Linked DNA regions of Lepisosteus oculatus. The protein of the gene in region 1 purifies or fractionates together with the protein of each later gene. This does not show direct contact. Links are inferred from orthologs where the notes say so. Each region holds a gene or a part of one and is shown in the gene's direction. Other genes may lie near its edges.

What was found. The genes of interacting proteins can lie anywhere in the genome.
Region 2: the proteins of marchf6 (region 1) and sqlea purify together in Homo sapiens (affinity purification with western blotting; 4 studies listed by BioGRID and IntAct, with this or other methods). This does not show direct contact. The link is inferred for Lepisosteus oculatus from reciprocal best matches to the Homo sapiens genes MARCHF6 and SQLE.

The regions. Positions count from the first base shown.
Region 1 is NC_090701.1:718,670-725,863, forward strand, and holds the start of marchf6 (E3 ubiquitin-protein ligase MARCHF6), read left to right. Parts: upstream 1-4,155; 5' UTR 4,156-4,452; coding exon 4,453-4,471; intron 4,472-7,194. Other genes in the region: cmbl (carboxymethylenebutenolidase homolog), read right to left, coding at 352-566, 1,131-1,133. UniProt on the Homo sapiens protein: Endoplasmic reticulum membrane-associated E3 ubiquitin ligase that plays a critical role in mitigating endoplasmic reticulum stress, the regulation of cholesterol and lipid homeostasis, and ferroptosis.
Region 2 is NC_090705.1:10,582,363-10,590,109, reverse strand, and holds the start of sqlea (squalene monooxygenase), read left to right. Parts: upstream 1-4,695; 5' UTR 4,696-4,912; coding exon 4,913-5,161; intron 5,162-6,307; coding exon 6,308-6,587; intron 6,588-7,434; coding exon 7,435-7,612; intron 7,613-7,747. Other genes in the region: uncharacterized protein, read left to right, coding at 1-136, 1,040-1,114, 2,383-2,466. UniProt on the Homo sapiens protein: Catalyzes the stereospecific oxidation of squalene to (S)-2,3-epoxysqualene, and is considered to be a rate-limiting enzyme in steroid biosynthesis.

The DNA.
Region 1 (7,194 bases):
TGGGGAGAGGGCAGAGAACAACAGGAATCCAGAGTCACTACAAACTGCAGCAACAGGACCATTTAAGTTACAGGTGCTGGGTTTCTCAGGCTTAAAGACACTCATTTGACTTCTGACTACAGTTGCATAGGAACATTCAGTGCCAATAGGGGAGATCACAGGATTTATGATGCATGTCAACCACTGTACATCCTCCTCCTTGCAGGGAGCAGGGTGTCAGTGAGCACAGCTCAACCTAGACATGACATTACACAGCCGCTACAAACCAAGCAGTACAAAGCTATGTGCTTGTAGGTTAGTGCAACGTCAGGTTTTTCTTTAAAACCTCTTGAAACAAAGTTAGATATTCACATGTATCCACTAGAGGCAAGCATGTCGGCCATGTATCTGGTGTTCGGAAGCTGCCACCCATAAATGTCCTGGATGACGATGACGGCCTTGTCCGTGCTGGAGCCGGGCTTGGAGACGTAGGCTCTGAGGTGCTCGACCTGGACCTCCTCCCCCTGACCCCCGTATTCCAGCTTGTCTCCAAGGTCACAGGGGCAGGGTCGGGCTTCGTTGGCCATCTAGAGCACAAGGAAAGATTCGGGTGAGAGAACACGAGATGGGCTCCAGACAAGAGGGCACCTTCCAGCCTATCTGGTGAATATTTTATTCACCTGGACCCCTGGGGCTGTCACACAGCCCCCCACGGGGCTCCCCTCCCACAGAGACCGGGAATCTCGCCCTTAGCTCCAGCATGACATGATCTGTACCTCTGGCTCCACCCCCTGTGGGCGTGTCTGTGCCACACTGGGTATCTACAGTATCAGCTTGTGTAGTTTTACTGTCCTGTTTGGAACCTCATAGCATATTAACACACAATTGTTGTGCTGGAATTTTTTTGAGATGCATTATTTTGTGTAGTTCACGTTGTGTACAGGTTCTTTGTTATCTGTTTCAGTTTCACAGCACTTTCTTAGGTGACCCTGTGTTACTGCCAGGCTCTGTGCTCCATTTTCCAGAGAGGAGACACAGACAGGCAGGGCCAGGCTGAAGAAACTCCTCTTCTGCAACAGCTACAACACTCCGGTACACAGCAATCACGACCACTGTCTCAGTTAATAATCTGTTAAGTAAAACACACAAACCATCAAATGAAGAGAAACAATGGCCCCAGTAGTTAATCACTGATTGACTGGAAAGCTCCGACGTTCTTAAAAGGCAGCAGAGGCTATTGATTTTTTAAAGTGTAATACCATTGCCTCTTCAGCTATCGAACGCCCGTCAAAATAAGCCTTTTACAGAACATTGTTAGACAGGTACGCGACTCCAGCACGCTATTTCCCAAATAGTACATACAACTGGCAGCCCCACAAGTAAAGATTACGCAACGAACACGAATCCCTGCTTTGCTGACTTCAATATATACACATTTCATTTATCAGTTTTAATTAAACCGCATTTTGCTCCTTACGTGTATTTTAAAAAGATATGTTACCAGAAGGAAAGCTTTTCTAAAACAATGTGTTTCCTCATGCTTTCGCCCCATGGAAAAAGGAGTTTACATAGTACTGTAGTTTAAACTTAAAACGCTTCAAACCGAATAACACGTTTCTTACAACCAAGACATTACTTTATCGACAATTAACATACACGCATTGCATTTTTATAGCAGTCATAGACTTCAAACGACCTACACCTATGATTAATGCCGCACAAAGTCGTTTAAGGATTGTACACGAAGAATGCAAAACAGTACGTTCTCTCACTACTTCTCCCCATTATGTTGTTTGCATAAAGCCTTCATCCGCGCTCATAAAGCGTTTAAAAAGCTCTTATTAGTGAATGGAAACGAAAATTGCCTAGTCATCCCCACTGCTGTTACATAACACTTCTCTCGGACTGGATATTTTATTCATTGTTAAACGCACCGATTTAAAAGCGCGTTTGGCTAAATGGTCATCTCGAGTAAGTAACGTGCAGTTACAAAAACGCGAACTGGCCCATTCAGCATTCAAAACCGATCGAGACTTCATGCAAGTCGAGCTGTCGTGCACCCAAGGTCTACGAAATGACGAAAATGATATGCTATATGCATATCGATTTCAATTCTAAAACGGTATATGATATTGTTTACCTTGTCCTTTCTACTCGTAGATCTAGATTACGGGGGTTGAATCTCAGCTCTCCGACTGCAGCACCGCAGAAAAACGCTCCTGCACTGATCAGGGAAAAAAACTCGCTTTAACCCCTCCGTGTTGATACTGGCACAAAGCCAGGCAGGGTTTCGACAGCACACTCAAATACTGACTGTGTCAAGTTTTAAAAAAGTTTGCTTGGGATATGTTCTGACGGCCACATTGTAAAGCAAATGCACGCTTTGCATAACGACTTTTTAGCGAGGTGTGTGCAGTTTTTCACAGTTATGTTCTACGAATTTTAAAAATAGTGAACCACGATGAAACTATAGGGCGGTTTTTAGACCGGTAGTTCTTTTTTCTTGTGACTGTTCAAAGGACGGGTGTGTGACAAGACAGCAATAAAATTCAACACTGATCGAGGCACCGCTGGGATTCGAACCCAGGATCTCCTGTTTACTAGACAGGCGCTTTAACCAACTAAGCCACGGCGCCGCGCCGGCTGAGTCTCCCTACCTGAATTAACCCTAACCTAGTGTCGCTGTCATTGACGAGGCTTAAATTGGTGCCCTTTTCCTACGAGTTTATTTTCATCAAGCTGCGTGCGCGATCCTCCCACCTACTATTTATTTTATAAAATTCAGGGGATAAGAAACCGGAATAAAACCAGGAAGTGCAGAAGTACAGTGTATCCAGCGCTTTCAACAACAACAACAACAACAACAACAACAACAACAACAACTGGTTTTCGAGTGAGAAAATAACCGATCATTTAATATATTAAGTTGTTCTTCATAATAGTTTTCATAAACGAGTGCGGGGCATATTATTTTAGGTCGAATATGGGAAATTGCATATATTACATAGCACGCAATTTCCAGAATTGTGCCGTACCAGTTACCAAATAAACCGACAGTACGTTGCTATCTCGAAAATCAAATATATGTGGGTTTAAAACAACGAACAGGAGGCACTTCTTTACACAAACAGTGGGGGGAGTGGGGAGCAGGCTAACCAGCCCTGGTATTGAAAACGACACTCCGCTTCGTTTCAAGCAACAGCTGGATCAATAAGATATTATCAAACAGGCTAGAGTGCTCGAATGACCCCTCGTTTGTAACCTTTGTTATTTTATGTTTGTAACCTCATGCTAAATGAAGGATACTTCGACGCTAGATGTCGCCTGTTGCATTTCTAATCGGATTAAAGACCACTGCGAAAATTGTTTTTTTTCCTTTCCTAACATAGTTTTGAACATTCAATAAAATTTGAACCCATGGAGTAAACATTCATTTAAATATTTCAAATTCGACATCTCTTAACATAAATATAAGCGCCAAACTCCAACCAGACAAAAAAAAGGTTTGCAATAATTGTACGACCGACCATACCAGGTAATAATAATAATAATAATAATAATAATAATAATAATAATAATAATAATAATGATAAACTTTATTTTATATAGCGCCTTTAAAGGTGGCTTCTCAAAGCGCTTTACAGGATGACAATAACAATAAATAAGAAGACTACAACAATAAATAAGAAAATTTCACAAGACAGGACACAATTATAATTACAACAATACATCAATAGAGGAGACCGTGGAAGATGGTATTAAGAAGAGCAGAGGGGTGAAGAATGCAACCAGTTAAGTAAAGGCTTTTCTGAAGAAGAAGGTTTTGAGTCTGGATTTGAAGGAGTTTAGAGAAGGTGACTCTCTAATATCCTTGGGCAAAGAGTTCCAGAGCTTGGGGGCATAACAGGAGAAGGCCCTGTCACCCATACAATGTAGACGGGCTTGGGGGACAGTAAGGAGGGCAGAATTTGTGCCCTTAGGTGATTAATTTCCATCATTCCGAACATTTTGGAAAACAGAAACAGGACCCGTAACTTTCCCAAACCCAAGACTCTTTCAGGACATAAAGTCGTATTAGTAGTTATACTGGATCTGCAACAGCATCGGTTTTCCTTTGCCATGGCAACCGAGCGGAGTCGCAAACAGAGATCGTAAGTCGTGCGCCTGCGTAGCGCTTCCTGCCGTAAAGACCCCGCTAGCTGTCGTGCAGCAGACTCTCCGTAATGATATGGAGAGAGGGATGGATACAGATATTTATTTTTTAGGCTGACTGAATTAGCTTCGTACCCCAGTTCCCCTGGGGGATCGCAGACAAAAACAGGGTTTTAGAAGCAGTGTGGGTTGTGTTCGCTTGTGTGCCTTTTTGCTGGGGAGGGGGGGGGAGCGGGTTGATGTTTGTTTTCCGCCGAGGCTCGGTGATGGTGTCGATGTGTCGGCTGTAAGAGGAGCCGAGGGCAGCGCGTCGCACTCAAGATGGACACCGCCGAAGAAGGTAGCGTAACACGCCAGGAGCATGCCCCTGTATAACGCAACAGCAGGAACGGGACAGTCGCAGGGGGCCGGCGGTCCGGGTCGCGGTGGGCCGGGCCGGGCCAGTCCTCGGTGCGGGGCGGCACGGTGGGCGCATCGCTCAGGACCCCCTGGCGAGACGTGTTTCACCTTCCCGCAGGCTCATGTGCAGGATCCCGCCTGAGCAGTGTGCACAGGCTAGCGAGCTCCGGGCCGCACTCAGCCTGCGCTTGCCCGCTAACGATGCTTATGTAACCTCTAATCCTCCGGGGTTCAGCCGACTCATATTTGCATTTAGATTCACGCCTTTTGTAGTTTAAATTGGTGTTTTGTCACCTGCCGAGCGTCCCGCGAGTCAGCTCAGTGGCCATGAAGAGACGCACTTTATTTTATCTGATGCGCAGAATTTTTAGCTTTTGGGGGGGATTTAGGGTGACTGTACGAAATTGTACGAAGACATCAGGCTCGTAATGTCCACAGGCCAGAGGTATTTCGGGTTAAACTAGTGTAATATTTGTTTCCACACAAAAGAAATCCAAGTCTTTAAGGGTGGTTTGTGGTTTGTGCTTGTTTTGGGGTGATCGATGCGTTCGAGCAGCTCTCGCTGAGCGAATCAGCTGCCGGTCAGGTCTCGTCAGTCTCACCCTTTGCTTGTCCGGGCCGAGTCCGGGCCGGCTGGTACCGGAGGGTGAGAACTGGGTCAGATCCATGGTTCTGGTGTAGCTGTGAGCCGCATGGAGCTTGAAAGAAGGAGGAACTGTCCGGTGACTGTGTTTACTCCTCTGAACCGTGAGCAGACAGGAGACGTGCCAACTGTGTGTCGGTCGGAAGCGAGCTGTAGCGCCATGGAGCCCTGTGACCCCCCCCTCGCAATTTGCAGCTTCGAGGGACTGTCGGGTTCAGGCCCCAGAATGCAGTGCGAATCGGCAATAAAAAACTTCACTCCCTCTTCTTGTCCTGCCTCCGTGTTTGAAACAAGGCTGCTTCACTAGCCGTTCTGCGTGTGAAACAAGGCTGCACATGTACGATTCAAGCTGGTTTGGTTTTGGATGCTTTCTGAGTTTTATGAAGTGAAAAGGTGATTTAGGCCTTATATAGTATTGAGCTTCCAAGTTTTAGTGTATGTGCATTTGTGATGGTCGACAACAGTGTTATCTGCCAGCTGGACTCTTTTCTTCATTAGATTGTATAGCTGGTCCAAATTCTGAAGTTTATAGTGCTTTGCGATTTCATTTTTAGAGTCAACGTTTAAATGGATTTATAACTGAAAATGTTAAAGGAGCATAAATTTAAGATGGGAAGCAAAATAGAAGAGACTTATTTAACAAAAAGAGTTGTTTTAATAGTAGTTAAAGTGCATTAAAGTGCAGACTAATATAAAATAGATTACACAAAGTGTTGATCTGGTGTCTGTGACACCAGATTGTACTTGCTGAGCAAGACTCGGTCAGTCTGCCAGTTCATTATTCACTATTCATTGCAACTAGGGGAGTTTCTGCAGTGTGTCCTGTTTTAGTAATAAGTCCTTGCTTTCATCCCACTAGCTTTTGACAGTAGACTAAAGTCAGCTAATTGCATAGCCCCCTATTGTAATTATGCATGAATTGTGATAAATGAATGCAAGCCAGGTTTTACCAGATTGTAAAAATTTAGGATCAATCTTAGGCCATTGCAGATTTAATGCATGTGTGTGTATTGTACAGAGTGTTTCTTTCCCTTGATGTTGATGCCGCTGGTGTGCAGAACTCCTAGAAAACTGTAGGTTATTACTGGATGATCCCCAAGTGTTGAGTTGGAGGCTTAACTCCAGAGCTTGTTTGGAGGAAATGAAATGAGCGTGTTTGCAGTAAAGCTGTGTTTGCGTAGTAACTGGCAGGAGTCAGAACTGTACTGTCTGGAAAGCTTGCCTTGTTTTTGTTGGCTTGTTTTCCAGAGATGAGTAGTGGCAGACTTCTGTGTTAAAAATAAAGTATGAGATGTCCACAGTTGTGAAGAAGAGCAAAACACTGCAGTCACCAGCAGAGATCTCACCACCAGCTCATTCATCCTGTGGAAACAGTAATGTGTGTGGGGGGTGCAAATGGGTTATTTTGATAAACACAACAGCATGACAGAAAGATCTTAAATAGATCTCTGAAAAGGATCATTCATACTGCAGACTGTGAATTGTGTAGCTTGTGTACACCGACACTGGGCATACTGCCTAAAAACAGGCCTGTTGAAGCCCCATGTGAAAGTGCCACAGAGGTGGTAAGCTGAGCTGAAGCCTGTGGGAAGGAGGGCAGACAAATGGAGTGTGTGGACGCCCTGGGCATCTCCTCTGTACACTGCTTCCATTCTGCCTTGATTCCACGGTTTCAAGCACCAATGGGTTGGCTTGCAAAAGCCTTCAGCTTTGAGCCTTCTCTCAGTCTGTGTTTGTTGAAAGAATAAAAGATTTGTAAGTCGAGTTAAGACTTCCAGGAAATCATTGCTTGTCTGTGAATGCTTGATGGAAAGTTTGATTGCAGAACGTTCTGCTCAGACGTGAAAGTCGTTGCCAGAACGCTCAGAGCGGACAAACAATGCTAACTGTTGCTGGAAGCCACTGATCGCGCTCATATACGGAATGAGACAGCTGAGTGTAGGATTAAAAAGCAGGAGTTAATAGTACAGGATTTTCCAGCAGGATGCCAAATTCCTTACATTCTTCTACCTGGACCTTCT
Region 2 (7,747 bases), on another chromosome or scaffold:
CGCCAAAGTACGGCGAGAGTCTACGGACCTGGAGGATCTGTTTATCGCACACGTGGGTGCCATGGACACCTTCGCTCGGGGTCTGAGGAGCGCGGTGCAGATCATCGAGGAGGGCGTGATTGCTCAGATGCTGCAGGTACTGTGCGCCCATTGCCCGGAGGGAAATTGTGCTCGTATGATTGTTACGTTGAGCCAGATGGGGAGGCACAAGTCTGCTTCACAGTGCTGAGGTCCAGCACCAGTCCTGGACAGAACAGTACCAGCACGGAAGGGATGAAGACCAATTTGCGCTTTCTTCCGAAAGATACACTGGACTGAGCCATCCCACCCCCCTTATTCAGAACGTTGCAAGTCTTGCAATGCTGATAGCAGGGCTGGGCTTCGTTGACCGATGAGTCTCTCCCAGGTGTCACTGCAACCTCACTGCGGCTTGGAAGGTTGGGTAGCGCGCTGGGCTTGCCCTGGCAGACTCGAGCCCTGCCAATCCCAGGAGGCCCAGCCCACGGTGGGTCACCACAGCCGGGTTCTGTTGTAGCCTAGACTTGAAGGAGTCATATCGAGACTTTTTAGGATTCAACTGGCACCCTGAAACAAGCACGTGCAATGGTGGCACGATCTACGAGCCCCAAAACTCTGCTCTATGCAGTGTGTTACGTAATGCATGGTAAAGTCCTTTATAAAAGACAATCTTTATTGTTTGTAAAGGCAGAGATGAAAGTTATGTTTATTTCTTTTAATTATTTTGAATATCTGAGAAATCATATGAGGAGTGGGCTGCTGTTGGGGATGAGTGCAGGTTTCAGAGCTGGACAGAGCGGTTCAGGAAGTGGGTCACAGAAGGGAGGAGATGAGACCCGCTGGAGCCACAAGCACATGGTTTCTGGAACAAAGGGGATCTAATACCGTAGCTAAACAGCTCAGCTCAGTGACGGATCAGGTCAAACTTGGTTACAGGTTTTTATGTTCCTTGAAACACATTATGTACTATAACTCTCCATAACCGTGACATTTGAGTGTGTGCTTTGTATCTGTTGTCCAGCAACGCTACCTGAGCTTCAGCAGTGGAATTGGCAGTATGGTGGAGGAAGGCACAGCCACGCTAGTGGAACTGGAGGTAATAACAGCAACGGGTTTAGCAGAGTTCTCCGCATCTGAGGGTTATAATGATTACGCTTCCTTACACTTCTGGACACTCCACTCAAAGCGCTTTACAGGTAATGGGGACCCCCCTCCACCACCACCAGTGTGCAGCCCCCACCTGGATGTTGTGACGGCAGCCATAGTGCGCCAGAACGCTCACCACACATCAGCTATCGGTGGGGAGGAGAACAGAGTGATGAAGCCAATTCATAGATTGGGATTATTAGGAAGCCGTGATTGGTAAAGGCCAATGGGAAATTTGGCCAGGATGACAGGGTTGCACCCCTAATCTTTTTTTAAGAAACACCATGAGATTTTTAATGACCACAGAGAGACAGGAACTTGGTTTTACATCTAATCTGAAAGACAGCGCCTTTTATACAGTAAAAAATCCCCGTCACTATACTGGGGCATTAGGACAAACACAGACAGCAGAGTGAGCGCTCCCACTGGTCCCCTGAACACCTCTTCCAGCAGCAGCCTTAGTTTTTCCCAGGAGGTCTCCTATCCAGGTACTGACCAGGCTCACACCTGCTTAGCTTGAGTGGGTTGCCAGTTGTGAGTTGCAGGGTGATATGGCTGCCGACAATGTGAGTTTATAATTGAGGCACTTTGAAAAATGAAGTAGTTAAGTAATTTCACCTTGCCCTCATGTGCCATGCATTGGATTTTAGCTGATGAGAAATTATCATAAATGAATCCCAGTCAACTTTATCAGTTATCCTTAAATTAAACTTTCTGTAACATAGAACAAAAACCTCTTACTTCATCACCAGATATAATGTCCAACTCAAAAACCTAGCTCTAAGCAAGCTAAAGTATACGTTTAAAAACAGTTTTTTTAACACAAAATGCAGTATTCTAAGGCTGAAATGGGCAGTTTTTCTCCTCTGTCCAGTGCTACAATACCAATGTCTGGAGTTACAAGTTTAAAATGTTTACTGCCCTTCTAATTGCTGCACTCTCAGAGTGGTATTAATTAACACTAACGTGTAGTGCTGTAAAGAACGTATGCCTCTCAGATGATTTTCTTGAAAAAATACCCACACGTCCTACAAAAAAAAATGCAAACTCACTTTTACCTTCTTGATCACATCAGGATATTAGCTCTTTCCTCTTTTATTTATCTTTTCTTGTGTTGATAGGCATGATTCACAAATCAGTAGCATTCTAAAAATATTATTTTTTTAAAAACCAGTATATGTTTTTTTTTGTTTTTCAAGTTTTCTTTTCTGTTTATAGGAGTTTATCAAGCAAAATGGAGAACCAAAGACCACGTCAGGGAAACAAGAAAAATACGAATCAATTTTTAACCATTACTTGTAAAGACAAGCCTGTCTTATATATTTGAAAATCTATTTTGATTCAGTGCCTGCAAATAAAGCTGTGACCCCATTAGCTGGCATGTAGAGCTACATAATTTATTTAATTACCTTTTTTGCATAATAGAAGTTATAAACTATTTATACATAAAGCTTTATATGCATTATAAGTGTCCCTAGATACACATGGAAATATGAACTATATGCTTACTGATCTTTAACAAAAAACTAAAATTGTATAATTTAATATATTTACTTTTTAGTCAGGGTTTTCTGTGTTGTGGGGAATAATGGGGTCAGGTGTTTATGCCCGGGGCTCTTATTAGATTAACCACATTAGATTCAAGATGTGTTAATTAATCCATTGGCATTTGCCTGTAATTTCATATAGTCTGCTTTAATTATTCAACATTTAGTGAATACTGTAGTTAGATTATTAAAGATGATGTTGATGTTGATTCATTATGCGGGAGCATGTTCTACTTTTTACTAATGCTTTTCTCTCCACCATTCGAGAAGGAAACCAGTGTTAAATGTGGAGAAACAATAGAGGCAAACAGTGTTGAGAAGCATCAAGGGATGTTAGGTTAAAATTGTACAGTGCACTAGAACTTCTCTTGAACTGAGAGCCCTCTGAGGGGACCTGTTAAAAGTACTGATCGTCTTGTTTGAATACAGTGTTGTGTCCTAGGCACATCTTAATACTTAAGGTTGGTGGAATGTGTTTCAAGAAGTGACAGGATGGGGATCAATTCTGGGATCAATTAGCTACTAACAAATGGCATGCTCTCTTTTGTGAACAACTCTCAGGTTCTCTCCACAAGGACTCCAGTTAAGATCGAAAATCAATGTGTGGTATTCTAAATTAAAGTGTGATTAGATTAGAGAAGAAGCTGAACAATGGGTCAGCAGATCGACTGAGTACGTTGACAGTGAAGACCTTCTTTGTGACTTAACACACTTCCAGGCTTGGGGGTGGAATGTTTCCCTTCGTTTTTCAGGTGTCCCCAGAAATCTGCTGCCTCAGGAATGCCTTGCCCTGTTTTTGTTACAGTTCTGCTGAATTGATCGTTGATGAATTAGTTCTTTTCAAACTCTTTTCTGTTCTGAAACAGTGGGTTTCAGAGTACCTGTACAATGTTTATAGAGAAACCTGAAATCTCACTTCAGACATAGAACACGACGAATATTTAATTGAGAAAATAATTGGGCTTAACTGCAGGACCGGTTGTAAGGCAGTACATATTGTAAAAAAGCATTATATTCTGATCCTAGTAAAGATGATTCAATAGCAACCATCCACACACGGAGAGACTAGATAAATAAAAGTATGTACAAAATACACAAGGAACACGAATCTGATAAAGGCAGAATGATAAACTCGTTATCACACCACGAAAATATCCTGACGAATACTTTTAAATGCATAGTTCACAGCACATTCCTGTCGGGTACATAATGGTACTGGTGTATTAAGAAAATTAAACACACAAATAAAAACATGTTTCTTGATGGAACACTTTGTCAGGCAGGTTCTAGGAAGCGAGGTGATGCTGTAACCGTGTTTCCAGCCCTCCTTGGCTGACAGATCCGCCTGTACTGCACAGGGGGACGACACTGGCGTCTGACGCGGGCCCACCTGCCCCATGACGTCACATCAGACTAGAGCAGACCTGACTGTCAGCTCGGCCACCGGCAGGACCGGATTGGCCAATGGCCAGATAGCGTGAGCTCTGCTCACCGCTCTGCGGCCTCTGATTGGGTACTGCGATGAAGAAAGGGGCGGGGAAGAGCGCGGTCCGGGCACGCGGCTCATTAGCATAGACTCCTTATTACCATAAAATATTCAGCATCCCACGAGAGTGACACGCCGGCTAGGTTGCAACTATTCTGGTCACCATCAGAAAAAAAATATAAACTCACTTTTCATGTTACAGTTGCACAGTTGTCTGTGAAGGTCTTCGGGAAAGAACTACAATTTATTTAAGAGCTGGGTTATTCAAGTCTGTTTTTTTTTTAGTACTAATGATATAAATACTGAATATCGGAGGACATTTGGGGACGGATTATTTCTTTAATATCATTATTATAAGAACAACATTATTTTTATTATTTAGAAGACAGCTGAGCAATATCTTAACCATTATTTCCGTGGCTTCATTTCTTCTCACATTGGTGTCCTGGATCCAAAATAACAGCTGATCCGGCGTCTGTTCGGCGATGACGAGCAGATTCGTTCACTAAAAGGAAAAAAAAAACAAACATTTCAGATTTCGGTATCGGTTGCCCAGGCCGGACTCCTTGCCTTTGAAACCTTGAAAGCATAACCGCCTTCAGTGCGTTTCTCTCGGGGACGCGTTTAACCCCACTTTTGACAAAAAAAAAAACTTATTCCGAGCGCACGTTTATTTTGGTTGTCGCTCAGTTGTCGATCCCTTGATTGACGAGAGATGTGGACGTTCCTGGGAATCGCCAGCTTCACCTACGTTTACAAGAAATGCGACGCCGTCCTGCACTATGCCAACAAGGAGGTCGCGCTGGTCTTCCTGGGCTGCTGCTTGCTCGCCTCCCTGCTGTCCTACGCCAGGTACCGCAGCGGGCAGGCGCTGCCCAGCCTGGGTCTGGACATCCCGGCGTCCCTGCCGCTGGCCCGCTTCTTCTCCGGACGGGACACGGACTCCGGCAGCCGGGCCGAAAAGGTAAACCCGTCTGCGGTCGGGGGAGCATCTCCATCCGCCCTGGCAAGCTATACAGTACCTCCCTCCGCCGGGTGCTGTGAAAAGCAGACGCGCGGCTGTGTTAACAGGTTGCTTTGCGGTGGGTATTTAACGCGCGTTGTGATTCCCGTTCGCTGGTTTTCCGAGTTTCAAAAGACGTTTCCCGGTCGGACAGGAGCAGATCCGGCCAGGGAGGGTCACAGTGATGCGAGATGCGGTCCGTCGTGTTTCTAAAAAGATGGACTTTTTTGGAAGACCTGCGGTGTTCAGACTTCACACACTTCCAGAGTGGGGGGTCCCCCTCTTCTCGAGCAGGGATGCTCTCCCCCAGGAACCCCCTTGTCCTGCTTTAATTACATCTCGACTGAATTGAATCATTGAGCTTTTTCCAATCGTTTTCCGCTCTGGCACAGTTGGGAGATCTCAGGATGCCTTTAGAATAGAAACCTGGTTTCTGCCGGCTCACATAACATATGAGAAATCTATCGATATACACATATATCGAGAAAATAATTAAGCTTCAGTGCAGGACCAAGACTGTGACGGTGGATAATAAGTAAAAAAGCGTTCTTTAAAAAAAAAAAAACAGCTCGGCTCGGCTTCTCCGATGTTCGCGTCCTACAGCGTCTTTCACAGGGGTTTCGTGGAAATTTGATTACCATTTTAATACCATTTACTCACGATACGACAGTATTTCAGCTCTTTTGCATTTAGCACGAACCGTCCGTTTTTGAGGTGTTAATGATTTTAATGAGGTCGCCCAGGCGCAAGCTGAAATTAGAAACGCGTTGCCAAATATCTCTCTTTAAAATATTTTCTTATTTTCTTTAGGCGTGTGTAAGCAATAGTCAGGCATTCGTGGTCAGCTCGAAATCCTCTGTCAAGTTGTCAGACTTCGGCTTGGGTTTTTCTACTTTTCCCCACGCTGAAATGACGGTTGGGGTGACGTTAAATGTGCTTGCCAGTATAAAAAGGCAAAATCACATCTTTATGGCCGATACAGGGGAGCTGCGATAATGAAAAAGTCGATAATGAAAGATGGAAAAGTGTTATTTTCTTCGTTGTTGAGACGCTTCTCCGGTCTTATTTTCCACTGACGCCCCTTAACTGTCCGGCCAATCAATCCAGCAGAGGGCGCGTCCCGGAGAGGGGAGGAGGAGGCGGCGGCACGTCGGACCCGCGGACTCCACCTGGCCGGACAGCGAGTGCGGCTCGGCCGCCGACTCTCGGGACCCGGACGTCGTGGTTGTCGGGGCCGGGGTGCTGGGCTCGGCCTTGGCGGCGGTGCTCGCCAGGGACGGCAGGCGGGTGACGGTGATCGAGAGGGACCTGCGGGAGCCGGACAGGATTGTCGGGGAGCTGCTGCAGCCCGGGGGGTACCGCGCCTTGAGGGAGCTGGGACTGGACGGTAAGCGTTCCCACTGTAACTGTTTGTCTTTCCATCTGGTACGCGGACAGGAGCCAGTAGGAGTTGCTTCTAATTGAGCACTACGTGTGTGGAGAATGTTTTAAAACTTAATTGTTTTAACAAAATAATTTCTGGAGATGATGTTTCAAATATGCTTTTAGTCTTGCTAAACTATATTGCGTTACTTAGCATTTTGTCTTAATATATAAGTAATAAAAAGATTTAAATGTAACTGCTACAAAACTTAAAAAAAGCCTGGTCAGTACCAGCATGGGAAACCTCCAGGGAAAAACTAAAGCTGCTGCTGGAAGAGGTGTTAGAGAGAAGGGGGTGCTCACCCTGTGGTCTGTGTGGGTCCCAGTGCCCCAGCATAGTGACGGGGACACTATACTATTAGAAAAGGCACCATTCTTCAGATGAGACGTTAAACCGAGGTCCTGACTCTCCCTGGTCATTAAAAGTCCCGGGGTGTTTCTTGAAAAGAGTAGGGGTGTAACCCCGATGTCCTGGCCAAATTTCCCATTGGCCTTTACCAGTCATGGCCTCCTAACAACCCCCCTCTATGAATTGGCTTCATCACTCTGCTCTCCTCCCCACTGATAGCTGATGTGTGGTGAGCGTTCTGGCGCACTATGGCTGCCGTCGCATCATTCAGGTGGGGGCTGCACACTGGTGGTGGTGGAGGGGAGTCCCCATGACCTGTAAAGCCCTTTGAGTGGAGTGTCCAGAAAAGCGCTATATAAGTGTAAGGATATTATTATATTGTTAGGACCTTGCTGCTGTGTTGTAGAAGTCTGTTTAAAAGGCTGCCCGCTGCCTTTCCCGATGCCACTTTGTTGCTCCACAGGCTGCGTCGAAGGGGTCGACGCCCACACCGTGAACGGCTACGTCATCCACGACATCGAGAGCCGGTCCGAGGTCGAAATTCCCTACCCCATGGAGGAGAACGTGATCCAGTGCGGGAGAGCTTTCCACCACGGCCGCTTCATCATGGGCCTGCGCCGGGCAGCCTCTGCGGAGCCAAAGTAAGGGTCCCTACCGTGCAGAGGAACCAGGTGCTGGTGCCCAAGAACAGATAGACACACCCAGGGCTCACGGGTCCCTCTCAGCTCTTTTAATCTAGAGTTCAGCATCTAAGAAGCTTTACAAGCCATGAAGCA